Linked DNA regions of Cricetulus griseus. The protein of the gene in region 1 interacts with the protein of each later gene in a pairwise test. Links are inferred from orthologs where the notes say so. Each region holds a gene or a part of one and is shown on either strand. Other genes may lie near its edges.

Evidence for each region.
Region 2: the proteins of Creb3 (region 1) and Gja1 interact in binary tests that used the Homo sapiens proteins (3 or more experiments, as listed by UniProt). The two-hybrid records come from large-scale screens. The link is inferred for Cricetulus griseus from reciprocal best matches to the Homo sapiens genes CREB3 and GJA1.
Region 3: the proteins of Creb3 (region 1) and Bik interact in a two-hybrid assay, tested with the Homo sapiens proteins (2 studies listed by BioGRID and IntAct). The two-hybrid records come from large-scale screens. The link is inferred for Cricetulus griseus from reciprocal best matches to the Homo sapiens genes CREB3 and BIK.
Region 4: the proteins of Creb3 (region 1) and Slc30a2 interact in binary tests that used the Homo sapiens proteins (3 or more experiments, as listed by UniProt). The two-hybrid records come from large-scale screens. The link is inferred for Cricetulus griseus from reciprocal best matches to the Homo sapiens genes CREB3 and SLC30A2.
Region 5: the proteins of Creb3 (region 1) and Sft2d2 interact in a two-hybrid assay, tested with the Homo sapiens proteins (2 studies listed by BioGRID and IntAct). The two-hybrid records come from large-scale screens. The link is inferred for Cricetulus griseus from reciprocal best matches to the Homo sapiens genes CREB3 and SFT2D2.
Region 6: the proteins of Creb3 (region 1) and Sfxn3 interact in a two-hybrid assay, tested with the Homo sapiens proteins (2 studies listed by BioGRID and IntAct). The two-hybrid records come from large-scale screens. The link is inferred for Cricetulus griseus from reciprocal best matches to the Homo sapiens genes CREB3 and SFXN3.
Region 7: the proteins of Creb3 (region 1) and Synpr interact in a two-hybrid assay, tested with the Homo sapiens proteins (2 studies listed by BioGRID and IntAct). The link is inferred for Cricetulus griseus from reciprocal best matches to the Homo sapiens genes CREB3 and SYNPR.

What each region holds. Positions count from the first base shown.
Region 1 is NC_048595.1:99,953,772-99,957,942, forward strand, and holds the start of Creb3 (cyclic AMP-responsive element-binding protein 3), read right to left. Parts: upstream 2,801-4,171; 5' UTR 2,641-2,800; intron 2,554-2,640; 5' UTR 2,545-2,553; coding exon 2,398-2,544; intron 2,311-2,397; coding exon 2,154-2,310; intron 2,073-2,153; coding exon 2,002-2,072; intron 1,884-2,001; coding exon 1,794-1,883; intron 1-1,793. UniProt on the Homo sapiens protein: Endoplasmic reticulum (ER)-bound sequence-specific transcription factor that directly binds DNA and activates transcription. Plays a role in the unfolded protein response (UPR), promoting cell survival versus ER stress-induced apoptotic cell death.
Region 2 is NC_048595.1:253,063,391-253,067,428, forward strand, and holds the start of Gja1 (gap junction alpha-1 protein), read right to left. Parts: upstream 2,801-4,038; 5' UTR 2,624-2,800; intron 1-2,623. UniProt on the Homo sapiens protein: Gap junction protein that acts as a regulator of bladder capacity. A gap junction consists of a cluster of closely packed pairs of transmembrane channels, the connexons, through which materials of low MW diffuse from one cell to a neighboring cell.
Region 3 is NC_048595.1:380,436,301-380,439,565, reverse strand, and holds part of Bik (bcl-2-interacting killer), read right to left. Parts: intron 1,713-3,265; exon of another isoform or gene 1,340-1,712; intron 1,042-1,339; 5' UTR 1,037-1,041; coding exon 870-1,036; intron 1-869.
Region 4 is NC_048595.1:18,946,983-18,949,933, forward strand, and holds the end of Slc30a2 (zinc transporter 2), read right to left. Parts: intron 1,113-2,951; coding exon 978-1,112; intron 647-977; coding exon 501-646; downstream 1-500.
Region 5 is NC_048598.1:27,202,258-27,205,757, forward strand, and holds part of Sft2d2 (vesicle transport protein SFT2B), read left to right. Parts: intron 1-155; coding exon of another isoform or gene 156-220; coding exon 221-256; intron 257-353; coding exon 354-412; intron 413-2,117; coding exon 2,118-2,147; intron 2,148-3,500. UniProt on the Homo sapiens protein: May be involved in fusion of retrograde transport vesicles derived from an endocytic compartment with the Golgi complex.
Region 6 is NC_048596.1:16,519,535-16,523,787, forward strand, and holds the start of Sfxn3 (sideroflexin-3), read right to left. Parts: upstream 2,801-4,253; 5' UTR 2,662-2,800; exon of another isoform or gene 2,623-2,661; intron 1,448-2,622; 5' UTR 1,445-1,447; coding exon 1,284-1,444; intron 846-1,283; coding exon 675-845; intron 184-674; coding exon 85-183; intron 1-84. UniProt on the Homo sapiens protein: Mitochondrial serine transporter that mediates transport of serine into mitochondria, an important step of the one-carbon metabolism pathway.
Region 7 is NW_023276807.1:171,601,859-171,605,358, reverse strand, and holds part of Synpr (synaptoporin), read right to left. Parts: intron 3,264-3,500; coding exon 3,072-3,263; intron 1-3,071. UniProt on the Homo sapiens protein: Intrinsic membrane protein of small synaptic vesicles. Probable vesicular channel protein.

The DNA.
Region 1 (4,171 bases):
TGCCTGGTGCCCACATAGGTCAGAAGAGGGAGTCAGATCTCCTGGAAGTGGAGTCACAAACAGTTGTGAGCTGTCATATGGGTGCTGAGACTTGAACTTGGGCCTTGTGAAAGAGTACAAAGTGCTCTAAACCACTGAGGTCATCTTTCCAGCCTCTAATTTAGTTAATTAAAAAACAAATTCCTCCTAATCTAGGTGTGGTAGCACATGCCTGTAATCTCCACACTTGGCGGGGAGAGGGAGGAGATCAGGACTTCAAGACCATCCTTGGCTAGAGTTTGAGGCCAGCCTGAGCTACATAAGACTATGTCTTATGTAACAATAACAAAAATCCATCCTTATCCTAAAATCAACATCAATTTTCTTATAATTTCTATCGGTAGGATTTACTTAGAATTTTTGAGGCTATATAGAACATATCTTTACTTTAAAGCACTTCAACTTTTTTTCAGAAATTGAAACTAAATAAAGTGTTAATTCTCATATTCTCTGATACAGCCTAGGCACTAGCCAAGAATGATGTCATTCACTTGTAATCTAGTCCTCAGGAGTTAAAAGCAGGAGGATCAATTCAAAGGCATTCCTTACCCACTACATAGTCTGAGGCCAGCCCAGCCTGGGCTCACAAGACCCTTTCTCAACAAACAGGGCTGCAGGCTGTAGCTCAGTGTTAGAGCACTTTATTCAAATCTCAATGGGTGGGGGACTAAGGAGGAAAAGACAGTTACTGTACTAGGGACAGCACCACTGATGATAATTTCCAAATTCTATTTTCCTTCCTACTAAAACTACTGTATCGCTCACTCATCTTGTAATGGTGGCAGAGGGATAGGAGACAGTGTCTCACGTAGCCTCTGCTTGCCTAAACTTGGCATGACGCTAAGTCTGGCCTTTTAACTCCTGATTCTCCTGCCCTAAATAAACATCTACATAACAAAAGATACCATGAAAACATTAAAAAGGCAAATGACATAAAAATGTTTACCATAAAAGCTAGATGTAGTAGTATATGCCTGTAAGCCCAGCACTCAGGAAGTAGCTTTGAACTCGTGAGGACCTTTCTGCCTCTGCATCCAGAGTGCTAGGACTGTGGAGGTGTGAGCCACCATGCCCAGCTTTGACAACTGTTATTGTTAGACTGGTTCAGCCTCCCAAACTCTACCGTGAGCAAGATATGGAGTACCACGACCACAATGAAATCTGTAAGAGCCCTCCATTTGTCGTCCTTCTCAAGGCTCTATTCTCATGTTAGTTGATATTCAAAAATTATATTTTTGTATGTGGGTGTGGGCTTGTTTGGAGATCAGAAAGCTCGTAGGAGTCAGTTCTCTCTTTCCATCATGTGAGTCCTGGGGATAGACCTGGCAGCAGGGCCTTTCCCAACTAAGCCACACACTGGTAATTTTGAAAGGAACACCACAATTTAGGTAAGCCCTACAGGGTCAAGAACTGCCCTAGAATCTAGCCTATTTATCTACCTGCCCCAGCTTCCCAATAGCAGCAAGTGTGCTTAGATTAGATTCTGACCTCAGTCCTTTTTCAAGTTATTGAGATGAAATAAACTGAATTTGCCTACTTGGGTCATGTAATCCCCCTCTAGTTTTGTTGTTGTTGTTGTCATTGTTGTTTGCTTGCTTGTTTTTGTTTGTTTGTTTTGTTTGTTTTTTGAGACAGGGTTTCTCTGTGCAGCCTTGGCTGTCCTGGAACTCAGAGATCCACCTGCCTCTGCCTCCCAAGTGCTGGAAGGGGCCAGGCTGCCCCTCCAGCTTTTACTCCACCAATAGGAACCTTACCTTTGTGAGAGGAAGTGCTGAGGGCAGACTAAGCCCCTCCTTCTCCAAGAGCTTCTTCTCTTCCTCAGTCAGCATCAGCCTAGAAATCTCCTAAGGTTGTAGGAAATAGTGGAGAGCAAAAGTTGCATGGGGATGTGGGAGCAGAATGGGAGGAACCTTGGCCTCAGTCGAGAAAGGTGGGATAATCCTGAAAACTCAAGTCCAGTACCTGCTCTGTAACTGTATCCCCCACAGGCATTGGAGTCACGCGGAACCCCTCCTTTTCAAAGCTCCCAATATCTGCAAAGTAGGGAGAAAAAAGTAGGGCTAGCTAGGCCAGTGAGCTCTTTCCTCCCCCATAACTTAACATTCCACACTCACCTAGATCTATGGACACATGTTCCTGTGGGAGGGAGTAGTTGTGGTCATGTCGAATAGAAGAGATGGAGGAGCTGAGAACATCCAGCGATGCCGAGGGACTGAGCAGAGAGCTCAGTAAATCCTCTACCTCCCAGTCGCTCAGTGCTTGCACAGAGTTCTAACAAATTCACAGGCCTTGATTTATCTTTGTACCCTTGGGTCTCACGGACGTCGCTTAGCTTCCCCACTCAGAACGCCCACCCACCTCGGAAGGCGGCAGCTCCAAGTCCAGCGGAGCCTCCACATCCTGCTCGGTCGCAGCCCACAAATCTCCGTTTTCCTCTAGCAGGAAGCCCAGCAGGTCCTGATCACCAGGATCCAAAGCTAGAAGGTCCTGACCACCAGGATCCATTTGGGATATCTATAGATAGAAATCCCTGTACACAGATGCAATCTCCGAACCTTAGACACGACCCCTCGGTCTGACTGTCAAATCGGCTCGACTTACCTTAGTCACTCTACTCCGGGCTACAAGGCTGAAGGCCTGCGGTCACACTAAAACCACAGCCACCTCCCAGCTTCTGTTCTACTCAGCTTCCAACACAACGGAAGTGATGCACATAGCCCCAAGGCATCCTGGGACTTGGAGTTCCTTCCAACTCGGAAGTGGCTCGTGTGCTGCGCCACGTCCCGGGGGCTATGCAAATTATAGGGACGTCCCTACAGCTTCCCACACCCCAGGGCGGGGATTCTAGGGACCCGGCTCCGCCTTCGCCGCGAGCTAGAAAAAGGAAGAGTCTAAAAGGGAACACCAGCTTGGTTCGGGCGATCTCTCCAGCGCGCCGCACCCTCGCTTCCTGCCGGGGAGGGGCGGCCAGGCTTTGCGGGCGCCCGAGCATCGAGACCTGCGGCTAGAGCAGCTTCCTGAAGTCTTTGCGACCATAGAGCGCGGGCCCAGGGCGCCGCCGGCGGGTGGGAGACATTTCCAGGACGGAAGTGGACCAGAGTGTCGAAGGGAGGGCGAGGCCGGAGCCCCAGAGCCACCCGGAGAACGAGCGGGTAGCGGGCCGGCGGGCGGGGCGCAGAGCCGGGCAGCGCAGGTAGGCCAGGCGGGCCGGGCCGGAGCTTCTAGGTGGGGCTGCGGGGCCAGGCCAGCCCGGGAAGCGGCGGGCGGGGCCCCCGATCCTCCTGCATATCCTGTGTCCGGTCCTGTTGGGGAGGTCAGCGTCCAATGCGTTTCGTTTTGGGTTTGGAATTAAGCTAGCCGTGTGTCGCGAGGCAGGCCCCTTTCGTGGGAGCAGGCTGTTCTCTCCCTCGACTAGGTTTGGGGGGGAGGGTGAGGAATGGGGTGGCATTGAGGCACTGGGCGGGGATGGCCTTTGGTGTTAGCAGATAGTGAGTATGTGGTTAGGAAAGCTTTGGGTGAGTTTGGGATTAGGTGCGGTCGGGTTTAGGAAGTGAGGATCCCTTCAGAGGTTACGAAGCTCGAGTAAATTTTAAACATTAGCTGCTTTAGTCAAGTCTGTTTCGTGTAGGTGACATTTAGTTTGAGGTCATTATTTTGTTTTCTGGAGGGATCAGCATGATCAGGATACCGAATCAGGTTAAGGATCAACCACAGGAATTGGCTTAGAAGCCCGTTTAGGTACTAAAGGCCATTGTCAGGGTTAGTATTAAGAATAAACAGTGAAAAGGTGAATTAAAAGCAAGTAAAAAATGAGCTTTAGGATTAGGAGTCAGTATTTAGGGTAAAAGTTGAGGGATTTAGGCCTAAAATTAAAAGCTGGATTAGTATGGGTGTCTGCTATGAAAGAGATGAAATGTCAGAATGGGGAATTAGGAAAGAAATTAAAGTCAGGATTAATGTTAGGAATTGGTGGCAGCATTAGGGGTTGAGGGTTGCAGCTACAGTTGAACAGGTAAAAAACATGAGAAGTTGGCAGCAAGTAGCTGCCTTTGTTTTGGGGTGAGGTCCCTTATTGCTGTGTAATCAGAGAGGCTTCTTTTACCCAGAGACGACAGACTAACTTCAGGCCACA
Region 2 (4,038 bases), about 150 Mb from region 1:
TCCTGAGCTGAGCAGGATGTGCCTCAACATATCACAAGTCAAACAGAAGCTTGGAGGTGGAGTCACAGGTATTAATCAGTGGGTGACTTTTTCTATCATTCCCTTCCCCCGGGGCATAAAAAGTTTCTACAGTTCACACGGAGAGCTACACCTCTGCATACGGTAATAAAGTAGGACACAGTGTCCGCCATCCCTTCTCTCTGTGTCAGGATTGGAGCCGTCTAAGTGACCAAACGCCGCTCCCTATCCGGAAGGAAATGCAGCCTTCCTTTGCCTGCAACTGCCGGCTTTAGAAACAAACTTCCCATGGAAGGTCATGGAGGGATAAAAAGCCCGACTGCCAAGGATGAGACGGTGGGGCAGTGATGTTGAAGAGCCTCAGAGAGTCATTATAAAAACGTGGTATGCGTTAAGACAGCGGGAGATCAAAGCACTACCATCGGGAGCAGCAGGCAAAGGACGGTGGTTTTTACACACTGGGGAGACAGTCCAGTAATTCAGAATTCAGCACCTCACCAGGACAGAATGTACAGTCTGGAATTGTGCTCATTTTCACTCAACTTGGCCTACTAAGCAGAATCAACTCATTTGCCCCAAAGGTATTCTAGGTCCTCATTAGCATATTTTATTCCACAGGCTTTTATTTTCAGCTATTCTCAAAAAAAAAAAAAAAAATCACCATTAGGCTTCCTCATGGGACACTGCTGGCTGTTCAAGGTTGCCCAGTGGTCTTTTGGACTGGCACGATTCACCACTTTCAATCACTAATATTTTGCTTGGGGAACAAAGGAAATTAAACCCACCTCCAAACACAGCCGGGTAGGTTTTTAAGATCTCGATCTCTCTGCCCACCCGAAACCCAGCACCGGGAGGGAAGGGAAGCTCGCCTCCGGGCGCGGGCCGGGGAGTGCCGTCCAAGACTCTGCCAGACGTGCCCGGCGAGCGTTGGGTGGACCCGAGGGCGCGAACAGGAGATCTCTGCTCGGAACTCAAGGTTTGAATTTCCCAATCCTGAGCGGATTTGCCTCAGCACACGTCAGTAGCTGTGGCTCGGTTTCTCGAGGGGTCTTCTTTGCCCCTCCTTCTTCCGCCCCGCCTCGTTCTTAGGGAATTTCAAGAGTTTCCCCGAGTGTTACAAGTGCATTTACCAGCACTGGGACTCCCTAGGTATTCAGGGGCCCTTCCCAGGGGCTGCACCCAGCTACCCGACGAGTTTAGGGAGAATGGGGTGAGAAAGGGCAGCGTGGATGGGGAGGTATTAGACTGACAACTTAGTGATGAATTTGATCTCTTGCTCTTGGACCGGCGGGAAGCGGGCCCGTCTCCCCTCCCCCTTCGGGGGCAGAGGTCTGGACCGCGAAGCCCGGAGGCTGCGGAGAGCTGAGCTCAAGATGCTAAGATGGCAGGAGGGCGCGCAACCGGCCTCCCCAAAGCTTTCACTTCTGCTCCACTCTCGGCCTCAGCTGGTACAAAAAACAAACAACAAAAACCACTTCAATACAGACTCAGCTTGAATTATTTCGGGCTGGATTTAGGCGGGACAGAATGAACTCGGGGGCAAAGTGCTTTACAGAACGTGTTACCAATAATAATTTTTTAAATGCTTTAAGATGGAACCCTTTTAAACTGCACTTTAACATCATCTTTGCCTAGTGCTTAGCACCCTGACAGCGCCAACTCAAAATTGTCCCAACAGCTCCTAAGTGGCTACATGTCTGCGCAAGCAGGCTGGAGCGCGGGCGCGCGCGGCGCGGGGAGGTGGGGGGGGGAGGTAGCTCGCTCTAAAGTGCGGCTTCAAAAACGCCTTTCCCCCCATTCCTTCTAGGAGCTCGTGTTTTAGCAGTTGATTTTGAAAAAGCATCCTGGCACACACAGTCTCTAAAACGCCCGTTTCTCCTCTTAACGCTTCGTAAGTCACCACCACCCATTCAAGATTTCTCCTGCCCGGAGTTGCCAGCGTGGTGGAGTGAAAAGCTGGCTGTGCGTGCTACAGGGTTCGTCCCGAAGCACTGCGCTGGCTTGGACAAAGTAACTAGTGTTGCTCTAAAAGCCCCAACGGCAGCACCCTGATCTTCAGATCTTCTGGCTTAATCCTGAAAAGTCTAAGAAGAAACCACGTGGAAGTCAAGTAGCCGCAGCGTCTCAACAAAGCACCCCGTCACAAAAGGGGTACGCTTTTTCAAGGCTAAGGAACGGCGGCCAGTATTTCCATATGAAAAAGAAGCACGCAGTCTACAACACTATAGGAAGCACGTTAAGCAAACTCGACTGAAAAGTCCAACTCAAGAGCCCCCTCCAACTGCCCCCCCCCCGCCCGCCCGCAAGACCTACGCCATTCGTAACTACAGAAAAGTAAAATAGGGCTGCACAACAAAGAGCCAAATTCAGTAACTTGGCTCTTCACTCTACTTGGAAAAGTTTGAGGCTTTTACCTGTTGCATTGTCGGGAAAACTTTTGACCAAAATATAAATCAGCACGTGGAAACTAAAGGCACTTTGAAGTCCGTCATTCTACTTGCAGTACCCTAAGTCAAAAGGTGACAAGGCATTTATAAACCACAATAGAAGAGTTTTCCTTAACGAAAAAGACGCTAGAAGGTAAAGTGAGTTTTTCAAAACTTACTCTTTCGCTTAATGAAAGCGAAGCCGGCGCGCCAAAGCGGTGAGGCTCCTTGGAGGCTGAAGTCAAAGAAAAGGAGGGCTCAGGCTCCCAGACCTGTCTATTTAAAGTTTAAAAGTCTGCTGCTGTTTGGTACTTTCCTCACGCCTTCCCCCAATGAAAGAAAAGTGCTGATACCTCGTAAAAGCGCTTTTCTAACTTGGAGCACAGCGCTTTTAAAAGTTTCAAGCCACTGACTCAACTGGAAGGAGGGGCTAGGAGAAAGGGGAGGGAGGAAGAAAAGGCGGGGAGGAGGTGGGGAGAAGGCTGGTGAGCGTGGGGCTGAGCAGGCACTAGAAGCAGCCAGGGTCAAGATAAAGTTGTAGTTTGAACACGCTAAAGAAAAAAAAAAAAAAGAAAGAGAACAGCCCTAGATAGATTTACGTCCACCACCACTTGGCTGTGACTTCTCACAGATTAAATACTGTTGAGTCTAGTGCTTGCTTCACCAGATGACCAGGGACAGTGAGGATATGTACTTTTATGTTACATTTTCTAACCTAAAAAAACAAAAACAAAAAGTACAACAAATAAAAATGGGGGAGACAACGCTAACCAGTGCGGACTTGTTCTGGGTTGCCCAAGCTGTGTGAAGCTTGAGGTGGGTGTGAGTGATCTTTCTTATGACCTAATTCTCTTGCTCTTAAACATGGACAATTAACAAAGGAAAGAAACGGTGGGCATGGGAAAGACATTTCACAACCAGATGTGTGTAGGGGTATGTCTACCCTTTCAGCCTCTGGACTGTGTTAGGTATTTCTACGTATTCTTTCAACTAAGCACAAGAAGAAACGTGTTATGATATATCATGTATATAATTTTTGACTGAAGTGTTGATAGTGACCTCTACCAGATCTCCAAGGAAGTGAAAATTTATATCTCAGGCCTATTCAGGCCAACAATTTAACATTTAAATTTGCAGTGAGATGTCAGAGTTCTTTTTTTTTTTTTTTTACAACTGCAGACTAGAGTTGTCAGATACATTATCTTGCCTAAAGTGGCTCTGAAACCTTCATCCGCTCTTTCAATCATGTCCCTGGGAAGCCCAACCTGGTGACTGTTTGCCTCTCCACAAACTCTCTCCTCAGACCTGATGGGGTTTCTGAAGGCTTAAGTCATGTGGCCTCATTCCTAAGATCAGTAGCTTCTTTGAGGGCTCCCAGACATCCTCCAAGAGGGCTTGTGGTAGGACGAGTGCCATAAACAGGCTTCATTGGTATTGGACAGGGAAACCTCTTGGCCTTTGTACAGACATCCATTTGATCATGCTAAACTTTTCACACAAATACAGATACAGACCAAAGAAGGATGGCAAAGATTTCCTGGGAAATACTTCCCCAAGTATCTTCTCACTGCAATGACTAAGGACTGTTTGAAAT
Region 3 (3,265 bases), about 280 Mb from region 1:
CCAGTTATCCTACCCTGTTTGAGTTCCTTCCCTAACTTCCTTCAGTAATAAACAGCAATATGGAAGTGTAAGCCTAATAAACCCTTTCCTCCCTAACTTGCTCTTTGGTCATGGTGTTTTGTCGTATCAATAGAAACCCTAACTAAGACATACACACACTGAAACCAGCCTGATTAAGCCCTTTCTGGGGTTGGCCTGAACATTCCACACCAGTGACTCAATAGCTCACTGGAAAGTCCCTACAGAGGGGATCTCAGGGGCTGTCTGTCCTGCCCAGCTCAGCCCTGGCCACCTGCACCACTGATCCAGTGTCCCAGGTCTACTCCTGATTCTAACAGTGGTGACAACAGTGCCAGGAGCCCGGAAGGTCATCTGGCTTGGGTTGGGAAGTTTTGGTCCTACCTGGGAGACCCCAGGAAAATACTGCCCCAGGCTTCACCTCACTCAGGAATGGACCAGGAAGGGAGGAAACAGGCATCCAAACAGCCCCATCTTACCTCCACAATCAGAGTAACAGAGAACCCTGAAGCTGAGAGTACACATGGAGAGACTGTGTTGACCTGCCTGTGTGCAGGACTCACCATGACCGGTGTAGCTACTCTTTTTCTGCTGGAAGTGAGCAGTGGGTCTCATGGCCTTAGAAGGAAGGGACCTTGCCTTCTCTATCTGGACATAGTGGCAACAACAAACATGCCTCTTGCTAGTGAAGTTAGATGGTCCAGATTGCAGTGTGATGGTCCTGAGACCCCAGAATCACTGTCAGGAACCCTGTGGGGTGTGGAGCCTCCTCAACCCCCACCCCACTCTAGCTCTATACAGAAGGTGTTTCAAGCCATGTCCAGAGGAGGGCACTGGTCAGTGGGTCCTACCTGTTCTCCAGGCACTCCACGAGGTCCAAGTCTCTCATAGAACTGTTTTCTTCCTCCACAGGCTCCTTCATGCTGGGAGCCCCAGGAGCCACTGGAGGTCGGGGCACCTGGTCATGCAGGACAGTCTTGATGATGAGGTCTCTGGCCATGAGTCTTGCCTCTGACATGTCCTCTGTGGGATAAAATAGGCTCAGTATGACTAAATTGCTCAGAACTATGCAATGGGAGCTACTAGGGCTTAGAACACCAGACCAAAATAGGCACTTGGCATGCAGGGTACAATGGAGCTCATGGGGACTGTGAGGTCTTGGAATTTCAATGTTCCTGACCCTCCTCTGCCCCCAACAGGTATCACTGATCCTTGCTCTGCATCTCAAATTGTCTTGTGATTACTTCTGAATACACAATTTGCAGCAACTTTTGCTGCCCAACTAAAATGAACAAGTTATTAACTTAAAAGTAGTTAATACCATCTTGCAATAAAGTTACAATTCAAATAGAAGAAAAAAGGGAACAGTCAAGGACAGGGCAGCTCCCCTTCTGACTGTCATGAATGTAGGGGTGAGGGCCCAAACTGCAGCAGCCAGTCAGAGACAGTAGACAGAGCAGTAGAGAAAGCCTGGCCCAAGCAACTGCAGGACTGGGAGCCATGCCCTGCCTAGGGTTCAAATTCCCAGTTTCCAATTCCTGTGGACAGAGACTTCTGGAACCCCCCACAGTGGTGACTCACATTTCAGTAATGGTTCCATCTCCACTGAGGCAGGCTGGGTGGGACTCTGTGACTGACTCACCATAGTGAAACCCACATGGAACCAGGTGACCTTAGGTCCATGACATCAAGGCAATGATAGTATGGATCTGGATTAATAGCCCTACTCAAATGCTGGTGCACAAGCAGGAATTCAAGGGGACACAGAAAGTTCCAATGCAGCCAAACCTTAGTGTGACACAAGAGACCTTGGTTTTTTGTTTTTGTTTTTAAATTCGAGTTGGTGGTAGCACACACCTTTAATTCCAGCGCTCGGGAGGCAGAGGCAGGAGGATATCTGTGAGTTTGGGGCCAGCCTGATCTACAGAGTGAGTTCCAAGACAGTGAGGGCTACACAGAGAAACCCTGTCTTGAAAATCCACAAAAAAGTGGGTGGCATTGAGCAGCTCTACATAAGAATCCAAAATTCAAAACTTTGGGCCCCAACATCACACATGTGTGATGGTTCAGAGTATAGGAACTCTGTCCCATGTACAGAATCACTTAATGTTCCACATAAATTACCTTCACTTCATATGTGAAAGTGTATAGGAGAGGTACCTGAATTTCACGGGGAGAGTCTGACCTCAACTCCAAGACAGCTCGTGTGTGTGTGTGTGTGTGTGTGTGTGTGTGTGTGTGTGTGTGTGTGTGTACAAGTGTGCATGAAAAGGACAGAGGTTAATGTTGGTGACTTCCTTGATTGTCCTCCACCTTGTGTTTTGAAACAGGGTCCTTCACTTAGACCTGGAGTCATTTCTGCTAGCCTGATTGACAGTAAGCCCCAGAGATTCTCCTGTCTCGGCTGCCCCTGAACTATGATTGCAGGTAAGCACAGCCAGGGTTGGCTTTCTGTGTCTGTGTTGAGGATACCAACAGCCATCGTCTGCACTCCAGCCCTCAATATATTTCATTATATATAAGCAGATGATATCTCAAATCCAAAACTCTCTGGCACCCATCCCGAGACTACACAGGCCATGCTGGCTTGAGCCTGCTTCCCTACCTTGCACTAGGCTGTGTTCAGAGTGTGTGTGGATGCCTTTATTTCACCTCCCAACAACCAGGTTATGGGCAGAGCACTTGTCTGGCATGCTCACGACCTTGGTTTCATCCCTAGCAACACAAACTGACACACAAGAATCAACCTAGACATGATTTTCTGTTCAAAAAGAACACCAGGTCTTGGAAAAGTTCATGCCTGAGCTAAGATGGACAGTGACCCAAGTCTTCCCATCCCTAGGCCAAGACAGACCAGTGACCATTTGTAAAATGGACTGACTGCAGGCACATTGCACAAAGCCATCCTCCTGAGGACACCCAAGGCTAAACACTGAAGTGTCCCACTGATCATTCCCTGTGTTAAAGAAAGAGATGGCTGGAAGCCTAGGCTCTCAGGGAGTTAGAACATAAGCTGGGACCCTCCAGGTGTCTCAGGGCTGACCTTAGGCAGATGACTGTCAGCAATGCACCCCAAATGGTTGTGATCAAGGAGCCAAGTGCACACGAGGTGACATCATCAGCTACCACAGCAGGTATGGGGGTGTGGTGAGTGCCAGGTTTTGAGAAGCCATATAAGGACAGCATTGTTCTTCCTTCTAGAAGTGGAAAAAGAATACCCGTCCAGAGTTTCTGTCTCAACAAAGAG
Region 4 (2,951 bases), about 81 Mb from region 1:
ACACAACTCCATTGACGACCCTAACTCAAAGGTGTGGCCTTCTTTCTCCCTCCTCTTCCCTGCAGCTGCTGAGAGTTACAGCTTACCTGGCCTGTGTGTGTGTGTGTGTGTGTGTGTGTGTGTGTGTGTGTTTTTCTCCCAAATTGTAATAACATGGTCTTTGAAGGATCCCTCTGAGTCCAGTTCAAAATTCTTTTATCAAAGAAACTGACTATGCAAAAGGGAGCCAACTTCCCAGTAATGTGTAACAAAGACCCTGGATTAGTACAGGCGACCCCAGGTCCTCCTTCTATGCCTTAGTGCCATCCCAGCTGTGATGTGAGGATGACAGTTGAAGATCCAGCCCAAACATCCCTGGAAAAGTATGGCCTCATGGGCTTCATCCTGGTCCTGTGGGCTCACAGGAGGCCACAGAGTCCCACTGGCATGGACCAGGCTGTGCCTGGAACCTAGAGTCCTGGCTAAACCGTTGATGTTTCCGATGGTGTCTGGCCAGATGGTCAGTCTGAGGGGCCCTGGCACTCCTGGCAGTCCTTCATCTCCTCAGTGTAGTTCTCAATTTGGATGGTCATGATGTGGAAATTGAACTTCCCCTGGAGGCGGTCCCTAGCCACCTTCAGCACAGCCTGGGGGTCAGCATGCGGAGCTGGGAAGAGAAACAAGGGATGATTGGCTCCATGTCTACCCCTGGGGAATTGACTAGGAGACAAGAAGTGCCAGGGTCTATCCTGTACCAGGCGAGCCCAGAGCAAGAAAAGCACTGGCCTTACAGCTTGAATCTGTCTCCCTCATCCACTCACCCCCTTGCTCCTGTACAAGTGATCTGACCACCCCAAACAAGGCCTCAGTTATCTTCCTCCATAAACGCAGTTGGAAGGATCAAAGGGCATTTCAGTGCTCAGCACTTGGCCGGAGCTTGGCAAACCCTCAGGAATGGCCCCAGGCCCCTGGCTGCTTCTCTCTTCACCTTAACTCACCGATAGCTATGTGGACAGACAGCACCGGCTGGGCCACTGTCAGTGCCCAGATATGCAGGCTGTGCAAGGCTTCCACCCCATCCACGGACAGCAGGAGATTCTTCACGGCTGTGAAGTCCACACCTTTGGGAGTCCCTGGGGACAGAAAGCACAATGGTAAAGGACACTACCCTCCCATCCCACTCTATCCTCCAGGGCCATCTACTCAGAAGGCCTCCTTGGCCAGCAGGTTCCATATGGTGCTCCCATCCCTCACTCTGTCCTGTTACAACAAGTGGAATGATCTCACGAATTTATCTATTGAGTCTAGAATGGAAACAGAGCATGAGTCTCTTTTGTTCACAGCTATATGGTCAATGTTTTTGTTTTTTAGACAAAGTCTTGCTATGTACCCTGAGCTGGTTTCCGACCCAAAATTCTGCTTCTTCAACTTCCTGGGTGCTGGGATTACAGGTATGGCCCCTCCAGACCCTCCAAGGCCAGTCATCTTGTTGAAGATAGCTTTGAAATTAAATATTCCTGCCAAGCCCAGGCTAGTACCCCACTCTCTTCCAACTGTCCCTGACCCTTTAGAAAGCCATGGCTTGGGCCTAAGCCAAGGCCTAAAGTGTGAGCTAGGCCTGTGGATTAGAGTGGTAGTTCCAGGCATCATTCACCAGCTGAGGCAGGAACAGGGAGGGTATGGGCCCTGAGACCTGTGGGAAAGAACTGAGCTGGTGTGGGTTCACTCAGCAACTACGATGGTGCACACCTGCACTTCCAACACTGAGGAGGCCAAGGCCATCTCAAACAACAAGGGATTAGAGAGATGGCTCAGAGGTTAAGAGCACTGGCTGCTCTTCCAGAGGTCCTGAGCTCAATTCCCAGAAACCACATGGTGACTCTCAACCATCTATAATGAGATCAGGTGCCCTCTTATGGCCTGCAGGCAATACATGCAGGCAGAACACTGTATACCTAATAAATAAATTTTAAAAAAGCAACAACAAAAAGCAACAGGGGATTAGAGAGACGGCTCCGAGTTTGGGAGCACTTGCTGCTCTTCCAAAGGATCAAGGTTCAGTTCCCAGCACCCTTTGATCCTAGCACTAGGAAGGTAGAGGCAGGCAGTTCTCTGTGAATTTGGTGTCAGTCTGGTCTTCATAGTGAGACCCTGTCTCAAAAATAAATTTAAAAAAAGTTCCTAGTTCTTAGATGTGGTGGTCCATGCTTTTAACCCACCACTTGGGAGGCAAGACTTTGAGGCCAACCTGGTCTTGAGTTCCAGGCTAGCTAGGGCTACATAAAGAGACCTATTTCAAACCTGGTCCCTCCCCCAAACAAAAAACAAAAACAACCCAACACTAGAACCAAATCCTTATCTTCCTGAGAAAAGTCACCTGATGATGAGGGCAGGGGTGGGGCTCCAGGTGTTACCAAGGCCATGTGACCAGCCAGGGACAACACACACTCCAAGGGAGGAGGCAGCCCTGGGCCTAGGGGGAGGGCAAGCGCTGGCTGGAACCTGTCTAGGAATTGGCACACCTTTATCTGATCAGCTCAGAGCTCTGAGGACCTATGTCCGTTAAAGGTCCCAGACACGGGCTCGCACCCTAATGCAGTGGTTCTCCAAACATCTGCACCAAGGTAGATTAGACTTGGTGAGCCTCAGGCTGAGAGAGAACCCCAAAGTCAGGCTGGGGAGATACTTCAGCTGCTAACGGTGCTAGAGGCCTGTTAGATACCCCAGAACTAAACACGCATGTACCCATGCACACACGTTAGTGCACACTTGTAATCCCAGACAGGAAAGGCAGAGATGGGCAGATGCCTTGGGACTGGTTGGCCAGCCAGCTTAGTCTAATTAGAGAGTCCCAGATCTGGGGAGAGGGCTCAGTGGGTTAAATGAGTTCAGGTTTCCAGCAACCATGAGAAAAACAAAAACAAAAAAAAAGGCCACTTGTCCTCGCCAGTAACCCTAGAGTTGGGTGGGAG
Region 5 (3,500 bases), on another chromosome or scaffold:
CTGTGGCCAGCTTACTTTTGTGTCTTGGATGAAAAGATTGGTCCAGAAAGGTGCTTTCATTTGCCGACATTTAGGGGGGACTTGAAAGTGAAAGCACGTCTTTCCCTGTCCAGTCTGCATGCATTTTTATTGTTGAGCTGGGTTTCTTTTTCCAGCACGGCTGTTCAGATGGGTCAAGTGCTGTGAATCACACTGTACTAATCAGCGTTTCTTCTTCCAGTTGTGTTTTGCACTTACCCTGTGTTCTGCCTTTTGGGTAAGTGTGAACTTTAGTCTTCTGTGATGTTTGTGGTTTATATCCCTTGTCCCTTGTCACACACACAGTAACTATGTTTTTTTTTTCTTTCTTCAAGTGGCATAAAAAGGCACTAGCGCTCATCTTCTGCATTTTGCAGTCTTTGGCCTTGACATGGTAAGTAATATCAGGGTCCTTCCTCATAACCAGCCCTGCCTTTGACTTGTGGTGGGAAAGGAGAGAAAACCAGCGTGTTGTGGGTGGGAAGGTTAGGAAAACAGAAGCTCTTGAGTTGAAGAGTTGTCGGTGATGCAACAGAAGTCAAGCTTCTGAAGCCAGCCAGGTGACTCAGGCCACCCCCAATAAATGGCATTAGCGGTCTTGAGTGGTTACCAGAGGCCTCCAGCCACAGCATTTTTGCTGAACTCATGGTCAGTTGTGAGATGTACAAATATTACTCAGCTACTCATGTCCGGGAAGTGCAAGCTCAATGAAAGCCTGGTAACAAGAGGCTAGGCGTCAAATGGACACTTCCAGAGAAGGGTGCTACCCAGAAAGTCAGCGATTGCCACAGAGTGACCATTTGGGAGAACGACATCGAGGGCATGGCCAGCCAGGATGAGAGGGCAGTAGCCGGGGAAATGGAAACCCATGTGGATGTGGGGTCAGCATCCTCACTGGAGGTGGCGTGGCCTTGGGGAATTACAGGTGAAGGTTAGGAGATTATAACTAAGAAGCCAGGTATAGTAAAAAGGTGACCAGAGACATGGCTTTTTAAAATCATGAATGGAACTGTAAGTTCTTGGCTATTTAAACCTGTGTAAAACATCCAAGGGAGAGGAGTGGTGGCACATATCTAATCCGTGTGTTACTTTACAAGTTTAATCCATGAGTAATGATGTTCAGTAGAATAGTTTCAGTACAGTGTGACTGTTCTGTTTGGGATAAAACTGTCTGCTAGGATACAGAGAAAAGGGAGGCTGTGGGCATTTTAAATAAACTTCTGGTCGGTGAACACCTAGTTGGTAGAAATGGATCTTGGGAATGCAAGCTTGATCCCATCTTCCTTTTGGAACTTGGACCTTCTGAAGAAATACTCTTGTCTAACTGCCTTTCAGATGTTACCATGTTCACAAGTTAGCGAATGCGTGTGAAAAGTGGGAGGTATGGAGAAGGATGGTGACCTGATTTTAATATGGGATACATTTTGCTATTAGGTCCTACAAGGGCCTGGCTTGATAACTTGTGTTTGTACTCTGGCTTTCTTCTGGCTGTATAGTACCTACATATACATAGTTCTTTTGCAAGCCAGTTCCAAGGAGTCAGCACTCTTCTGGGCCCAGGAAAATGGGGATTCCCTTTGAACTGATTCTTAAGTCTGACCAACTTACACCCTGACTGACAGACACACAGGGACTGTGTCTCTGTCCTGCGTGACTTTCTTATAGGCAGTGTGGCTTGGGTTCTTGAAGCATTGTACCAGGGTGCATTCTCATCTATAGATTGGTAGGCAGTGGCTTTTTTTTTTTTTTAATTAGCGGAACAGATAGAGCATTGATCTCACATGGGTTGATGTTGAATTCTCTTGAGAATTTACAAAGCATTAGATCACACCTGTTGAGGATTTTATTTGCAGTTTCTGTAAATAGGACTCTGGCGCCATACGGGCATCTGGAATCTGCCCATTTTAGTTGGTTACTGCTGGCTTGTGAGGTTAAGCAGCACCACAAGCAAGGCTGGGGCCAGAGGGCTTAATGTTACACTATTTACGGGATGTGTTTAGGTGATGTGTGAGTGCATATGGGTAGAGCCTAAGGGCTTGCTTCAGGGAGTTTTCCACTCCCTCCATTCAATTTGATCTTTGCTTTGTTTTTCTTTGTAGGTATAGCCTTTCCTTCATACCATTTGCAAGGTAAGACTGTAACTATGTATTTGGAAATAGGGATTCTTCCATTTGTGAACCATGATATGTTTACATAGGACTTTTAATTTTTAAGAAAATGAATTTATTTTCATTTTAATGTGTATTTTGCCTATATGCATATTTATTTGCTATGTAGGTGCATTTTCTTGTGCAGGTTAGAAGAGGGTGTTGAATCCCCTGGAACTGGAATTAATGGATGGTCGTGAGCTGCCATGTGGGTGTTGGGAATTGAACCCGGGACCTCTGGAAGAGCAACTAGTGCTCTCTAATTGCTGAGCCATCTCTCCAGCTCCTGCATGTGGACTTTAGTTTGGAGATGTTAGTTTAGTTGCAGAAAGTACATGTTATTTTATTTGTCTTTAAAATTCTTTGATCTAGTTAGACACAGGTTGGACATCTGCTTTATAGGTTACTATGATAAGGGCCATGGTTCTCCTGATGTCATTGTTCAACTAGTAATGTGTTGGCAGACTCTGAGTTCCTAGTGTTTGGGGCACTCAGCTCTAATAGAAAGGACATTGATGCACACCACCATTCCTTTAATCTGTAGCTTTGAGATGATAACTTGACAGGTGATCAGTGTAGTGTAACTAAACAAGAGTATCAGGGTCCTTAGAGCCTGCTTGTTTTCCTACAGGGCTCACACAGGGATTGTTTTAGAAGAGTCTAGAGGGGAAGCAAGGCCAGAACTCTAGAGGACCAGCACTTCCTAGTTAGCAGTGTGAGCTTGGTGACTTTACCAACCACCAAGACCTCAGATGAGACATCGATAATTGGAGTGCGTGGGGCTGGTTCATCCCCAGATGCTGGGAGTTTGTTAATCACTTTTGGTGGGCTTTTCCCAGTTAGTCACAGGACCTTTGCCTCTGATTCTATTCTAATGAAGCCACTTAATTTCATTTTTCTCAGTCATCTACTAAGTAAAAATATTTTCCATAATCGTGTGGAGGAAATGAAAAATTGTGCAGAGGCTGGGAGAGAGGGCAGATGTTCTGTCTTATGCTTTGCAGATCTGCTGTTGCCAGTGATCTGAATGCGCTGGGAAGCAAGGCTCACAAGCTCATAGAGCGTCCCTTTGTGCATGGGAGTATAACCTTTGTGAAATACTGCCTTGGGGGCAGGGAAGCTAGCTTGCTATGTGAAATAAGCATCTAATGAAGTAGTTATCAATTTGGCAAAAATTTGACCATATCTTGTAAGTCCCTAAACTATTTACATAATTTACTGGGCCCAGCATAAAGTGACTACCCCTTAATGATCTCAGTGCGTTCTGTGATTGGCTGATGTAAAAATGCAGCAGCATGTACTAGTCCCCAGGACCAGTCTGCAGGGTAAGTGGGC
Region 6 (4,253 bases), on another chromosome or scaffold:
GGTCGAACATGTAGCTGAAAGGAGAGCTGAGCCCCTGGCACAGGGGTCCACAGGGACCAGGAACAGCTGGGGAGGGTGTCTCACCGCACAGTGATGGGAGCATCCCCACTGCGATTGGAATAATTCACAATAGCGTTGAAGGACTGGTTCACCCACTGCCAGAACACCACAGTTGGCGTCTTCCTGGGGGGTGAGAAGATAGACTACTCATTTCTGTCCATCCACACTATTCCCCCATTCTTGAATCCCCACAATTGAATTATGTGTGTGGGAGGGAGTCAGACTCGCTGGAACTTGAGTTACAGAAAGTTGTGAGCTGCCATGTGGGTGCTGGGACTTGAACCCAGGTTCTCTGCAAAAGCAGCCAGTGTTCTTAACCACTGAGCCATCTCTCCAGCCCCCCGAACTCCCAATATTGAAACCCTAAGAGTTCTTCGAGAGTGACTTAACTGATGGTCCCAGAACTTGCCCTTGTCGCCCTCACTGGTTCAGCTTACACAAGTGAAGGCTGGGTTGTGAAAAATGGAAAGAATTCTTACACACACACACACACACACACACACACACACACACACACACTGTTCTTTGCCCAAAAGGCAGCGGAAGAGAGACTGCTGGTTACCCAACCGTGTTCTGGAGCACAGCACTCGGAAGGGGACGAGGGCGAGACTTGCCTGTAGAAGGTGAGCATGCATCCGGTAATGGTCATGTTCATGGGCACCTGGGCTGACATGCGGCCAATCAAGACCACCTTTTCCCCTGTGTCCGGGTGGAATGCAGAGTCATACACATACTTGGCTCTCCAGAGCTGGTCCTCAGTGAGCCCTGGGGTTGCCACACCAGCCCTGGAGGAATTGGCAAGGAACCAACAGGCTGTTGTAGGGGTCAGACCTGCCCTTCCTGTCTCTGCCGCTTGCCTCAGGGAACTCTGGGCAAAGGACTAGGAACTTTGCTACTCAAGCCTAGAGTAAAGGAGCTCCTTGTCCGTGGGGGAGGCCAAAGCCTCTCAGGCATGAACTTTGCTCTTTCTACAAACTTTTTGGTCTCACATTTTCTCCAGGATCACAGTGAGGGTGGTTTTCAAAGGGTCTGAAATGACTAGGGGCATCCAAGATTTAACTCCTGAAGAGAAGAGTTTTGCCTGTCTATGGTCATTAAAGGGGATCTGTGAACTGCAGAGCTGCTGCCTACCCATAAATCCAATGCTGACTCCTCAGCGCAATGTCCTAAACTCCTTTGAACTGAAGTGCTGTGTCACTGTCATCTGGTTAGAGGCTGCTCACCTGTAATTCTGCACAATGTTTCGGGAAGCTTCCAGCTGGTCGTCAGACAGCAGCAGATTGCGAGGGTCAGTTACTGTGAAGAAATGCCGGGCTCTGCCTAGGAATGTGCTTTGGTCCCATCGAGGTCTCTGGATGTTGATATCCAAGGGCAAGTCACCCATCTTCTGCAAGGCAGCAAGAACAAAGATTAGGTCCAAGGACTGCACTTGGGGAAACTTTGGTGGCTCTGCCCTGGTCCCAGAAACTATGGCCAGTCCTTGAAAGAGCTCAAGGTGACTCTAGATAGGTGAGCAAGGGTGGGGGAGGAGTTGTGTCCCAGGTAGTGTTTTAGCCAGGGACCTATAGCCACTGAGGAGAGGAGGGAAGTTCAGAACTAAGAGTCTATATAGCTTTCCTCAGGCTGGCCTGGTGCAGATTTTACACGGTGAGGATTTGCATTTGTGTGGTTGATTCAACAGCAGCAACTAATCCGGGCAGCTATCTTGAGCTCCTGCTGTAGGAACCTGGATAACACACCCAAGCCCACTTCAGTTTCAGGTCCCAGCTGCTCTAAAACCTAGATTAAAAAACAAAAAACTTCCAAGACTGTTTGGGAAGACGACAAAAGCCATCAAACTCTCAGGGCCCTGACTGGAGGAGACCGGGATCATTAGCCACTTGAGGGCTGATCAGTACTAGATCTCAGAGAGAACGCTCCAGGGGTCTCAGAGAGAACGCTCAAGGGGCAGCCATTAGCGAATGGGACAGCACGCACAATCCCCTTCAAACCCATTTGCTTCAACTCCTGCACAAAAACCCAGGACTCTCCCCGTCCTTAGTTGAACAGGGCTGACACAGACATCCACGCAACTCTCTCTGAGCCATCCGCCTCAGGAAAAGGCAAGATTAAGCGGATGCCCCTCCACCCAGCACAAAAAGGAATGCCAGGAGCAGCCATCTGGCTGCGTTAGGCAAAAATCCTGCAGAATGACTAATCCCCTCCAAGTCCACTTCCTCCCTCACAGTAGACAACGCCCCTACCCGACTCAACATACCCGCACACAAAGACATGCGCACCCTCCCCGGCACACAAACAGGTTAGACCCACACTGTATACACTAGCCAACCAGCCAACGGTAAGAATACCGTTACACACACACACACACACACACACACACACACACACACACACACACACACACACACAGGTGCAGACATCTGAAATATGCCTACACACAGCCTCACCCAACCACCCCCTCCTTGTGACCTACAGATCCTAACAGACCCTGCAATACGAAATCCACACAAGACAGAGAGCTCCTTTCAAGGCAAGCCTCCTCCTCAGATCCCAGGCCCTCACCCCTACTCTCTGATGATTTCCAAGGCAGCAAGCACTCACGCTTTCCGGGGTTTTCAGTCTCTAGCAGCTCTCAGACCCGCCTTCCTCACAGCTCTCTGCTTTCCTCCCATCCATCACCGGGACGTCACGCGTGACGCTGAGCAGCAGGGAAGGGCGGAGGCTCCCTAGGCTCGTTCTCCCAACCCGCCCCCGGCTTGGCAGAATTCCGGGGCAGTGGATGTCGTATAGAGAGACTCCCCCAGACCAGGCCGTTGAGACCAGACCCGACCCAGTCGTGGGAACAGTTCTGGCCGCCTTCCCAGCCAGAGAGAGGAGGGGTGGAGCCGCCCCACTTGTCTCCTTCGCTTGCAGTCCCTTGGCTTGCCTAGGGAGGCACCCGACCCGGCAGCACCCGGTCTAGGTGCACTGGGCACGGGTGAGCGGCGTGGAGGGCGGGCCTCTGATGGTGCGCCGCCTGGAGGGACTCGGGTTACTGCTTGTTTACTTGATGGCTGCCTTGGCAATGGGCCTCTGTGTGCTTGGCCCCCTGGGCTGGTACTCCAGGATCTATGCAGTTCCTCACCATTCGCATCCCTTTCCAGCCACATTCCTGTGGTGCCTGTGCTCCTTCTGAGTCCCCAGTCCTCTTTGTCACCCAACCCCCAGCTCCATTGTGCCAGCAGTGTCGTTACGCCCCCAACACTTATCCGTGCACAGACTGCAGCTACAACCCCTGGGATATGCACGGCCAGAGTCTCCCGTCATCTCTGCTTCTTGCATCCAAGCTGGTGCATCAGAAAGATTCCTCTCCTCCTTGTGTGCTGGCATCAGCTGCTCTGTCTTGAGGACTTTGCAGAAAAGGGCGCCCAGAGAAACAATTTTTCAACTCAGAATGTGAAGAAGACATTACACACACACACACACACACACACACACACACACACACACTTCACCCATTAGCACCCAGAGCACGGCCGCTGCACACCGAGGCTCCCACTCGTTCCTGATCATCTCGGGTTCACGTTCGGCTCTTTTGCTTGTGACATTCTCCCACAGAGACCTCAGGAGTGACCACGAAAGAGGTGGCAACTTCACGAGCCCAGGAAGCTAGGGGGGCCTGGAGAAGATGTGATTCTAGTCGCCAATGCGAGGCTCCAGGGCAACCCTAAATTCCAAAGACCTGTGGGGTTCAGAATTAGGGGGGCAGAGCCCAGAGGTACCAGGCAGGTGACGAGCGGCTACCAAAGATGCCAGAAAAGAATGACTGGCGGCGTCGGCAGCCAATGGAATCCCAGGACCGTGCAGGCCAGCCTCATTCCCGCAGCCGCACCGAGCTGGTTCAGTGTCCCGCGCGGGCGTCTGCACAAGCGACCAGGTGAGTGGGCCGAGTCCTAGAGGTAGAGGGGCAGGAGGGCCTACAGTGAGGACTCTGTTTTGGGGGGGTCACAGAGATGCCCTGGAGGGCGCGGGCCCTGGTTTTGCACTAGCAGATCACCAATCATGGGACAGAGTCTCGCAGCTTTATCTCCACAGCTGCAGCCTGGAGCCTAGCGGTCACTTGGGGGTGGCGGTGGGGGCAAGCTCGGCTGCAGCTGTCCCAGGTCCTGAAGTCTAGCTCTGGAGGCTAGCCCCTACCCATATATACACACACA
Region 7 (3,500 bases), on another chromosome or scaffold:
GTCACTGGGCACTGTGCCACCAGGCTCTGATCAGAGCATTTCTTCTGTATCCTTGAAACTTTGCCATGGTAAAGGGCTCTGCCCTTATCATTCACCCAAAGGAATGTGCTTTTGACCAATGAGATATAACTCTGGGTAATGTGGTCCTTAATCAGCATTTTCCACAGATTGGGCAGCATGCTAAGTGTTTTTTCCATGCATTATCTTCTCTCAGCAGTCTCAGAGTCTGCTGCCTCTTGCATAATTGTCTACAGTTTTCTGATGGTGGCATGGAGATTTGATGGTGGCATGAGCTGGTTTGTTGTTCGTAAAGGATTTACTACACTGTCACCTAGTGGAACCAGACCCCTCCTTGGAGACTATTCCAGCAGTGTGCCTTCAGCTCTTTTGAGTACTAACAGTATTAGGAGAGTTTGGCTTCAGTTCTACCATTAGTGTAGTTAAATCCAGAAACCTTTTCCAGGATCTTTAAAATCATCTTCCAGCATCTGTAATGTCCTGATACCTCACCTTATTTTAGGGCTACTGTGAAGTTACAATGGCAAAGAAAATAATTTTATTACCACAGTAGAAAATATTTATTGTTTCTTGACCAATTTCTTTGCAGAGATCACAGAGCATAGTATGTGTAGGGCATGGTTCCTTCTTCAGAACTTGCACTTGACCAGCAGGGTGAGTTCTGTGAGCCATGTTTTGAATATACAATTCCTAAAGCCTATAGTTATAGTTGATGAGACTGAGAAGGATACCTGTCCCTGAAAGGGCCAATGGGATGCTCTCAACCAGACATTCAGACATTTGTAACGGGATCTGAGTGATATCAGTTCAGTCTAAGTGCCCCTCCCTTAACAACACTTATTTATTATTTCTCTGAGTGTGTGTGTGTGTGTGTGTGTGTGTGTGTGTGCATGCATGCATGTGGAAGTCAGATGACAACTTTGTGGAGTCTGTTCTCTTCATCCTTTTTTCGAATTCTGGGGATAAGGTTACCAAACTTGGTCAGTGAGCACCTGTACCCACTGAGCCTTTGGGTTGGCCAAAGCTGTTTCTTTGAAAGGAAAGACACAATTAGAAACTGAAGGTACCTACCTTCTCCCATATGTTCAAGAAAAAATTAAAATTCTATTTAGAAAAGGAATTTAATATAACAGTGTCTTTCAACAGGTGCACACCCAAGGGTAAGTGGTAGAGAATGGGAAAGATACAGTCTCTGGACTATCTTCCAGCTTACAGCCATAGACTCTACTCTAGGGGAACACTTCTAGTTTTTCTCATTATTTTTGGGTTTCGCTGCCTGAAACACAATTTTAAATCAAAAACCTGAGTTGACTGATTAATATCCTTCCTCCTGTGATAGTAATACACAATTCATTTCCTTGCAGTGTGAAGTTTTAGTCCAATAGCTTGAGGTCTGCCCTGGAACTTTTCTACTGAAGGAGAAAAATGGGAGGGTAGGTAAAATTTCCACTACTCAGCAACTCAGAGAGACAGTATTTTAGTTTTCTGACATCAGGAGTTGAGGACCTGCTCTAGCTTCTTCCACTCTCATGTCTTCAGATCTCAGCAGGTTCATGGTATCTTTCCAGAAACTATCATTTTAATGAAAAAATTGGGATCAGCTTCTATTTACAATGTAGACATCTGAATGAGTACAGACACTAGTTCCAGACAAGGGTCTAAAGAATACTGTAAACTTTGCTTTAATCTATCTGAACAAGCTGTTCTATTAGAACCACCAAAGCCTTGGCTGTCAGGGACACAATGACAACCCTGCAGGCCTTTCCTTCCATATGTTCACATTATTGTTAGGGTTAGGAGAACACATTATTCCTCATCTCTAAGTCCTACCTTCTAGTCTAAACTTTATTAGAACATTAGTGGAATGACAAGGCCAGGTGGGATGTCATAAGTTACTTGGGACATGCATTACCAAGCTAGCAGTTGACAAATATCATTTACTTGATTTGTTAAACATGTCAAGCAATTTTTATTTTCTTAGATTTTGAGATGAGAGTCATAATTATGTCTTTGGCACTGCCTACAAATAAGCTACAGAAATCACTATATATGTTAATGCATACTCACAAGTTGCCACTCACAAGTGTGGCCAGCAATATGTAAGAATGTTTGTGAGATCCAGGGCATAGTGGATTTCCATGGTTGCTATTTCACCAAGACAAGATTTATAGAGAAATCAGGAGGAGTGGAACAACCTTTGCCCTCTTTGTAGCCCCTTTCCCTGACTGAATGTCAGAAAGCCTCAGGGACACAGGTTAATGTTGCAGCCAAGATAACTATACTTCACTTTTGCTGGATGGTGTACTTTTAATGAACACAGCTGAGACTCCCACTCCTCAGTAAATGTTTCTTTTTGTCAACATCCTAGCTCTTTATCAGATGCAGCTTCCTCCTGTGGAGTAGCACAATTGCTTACATGTATAAATTAGAAATACAATTTAGCCTCTCTCCAACTGTTGGCATTCATACTTTCCTGTAAGGCCTATATTCTTGATGACAATATTTGATTTTGTTCAGCCAATTTAGCACATATTTTCTAAGGCTATCGAAGAGCTATACTGAAGAAGGGAGAAGATACAGGATTATTCTAAGTCCTTTTTCAAGCCATGCATTTCCTCTTGCTCCCTACTAAGTCTGCATATTTTTCTCCAACCAATTTGGTATATTCCATGTGTGGCTTTAATAAAATGTTCTCTTCCAGGAAACATGAGTTAACAAATATTCTTTTTAACTTCTGGCAGGCTTCAGCCTTAACATTTAGGCTTTATATCAGCTTTAGCTTAGAATTTTCACTTGACTGTCATCTTAGCCACAGCTGCTAATACCTGCTGGGTTTTTATTAAAAACTGTAATCAGAAACATTACAGTGTGTTGGTTTTGACATTGAAAATCTTGGAGGCTGAAATATCATCTTACCAGTCAGTGAGACTTCCCTCTTTTGATTGGCCTAGTTTTAAAGGCAGAAATGTATACAGTAGCTTTGGGGTGTTTTTCTTAATCACTGACCATCAATTAAGATTTGGGAAGTCAAGCCTGGATGAACAAATACTCACCACGGATGTGTTTAAGCTGGACATGACAGGGCTGTGGACAGCCAAGCATTTGTTGTAGGACTGCTTGCAAGCTGACATCAGTAACAAGACTTCATTTGGATCAGTTGCCACTTTGACATCAGACAGTCCTTTTGCCCAAGCAGAGGAACCAACCAACCACAAGAATGAAAAGACGACAGTGACGATAAAATCCTGCACAGAGAGAAGACAGGAAAAAAAAAAAAACAACAAACAAACAGCAAACAAACAGATGTGAGTTCCAGAAGCAAATCTATTAATTTATGCAAATACCATTTGGTTTTTTGAAAATTCTAAGATCCACAACATTAGGACCTAGAGATACTGTAAAATAAATAAAGTTTGTTGATGTTGTATTTATACTTACATGAGATAAATAATTAAACTGTTATTTAGTTTTGTTTATTGAAA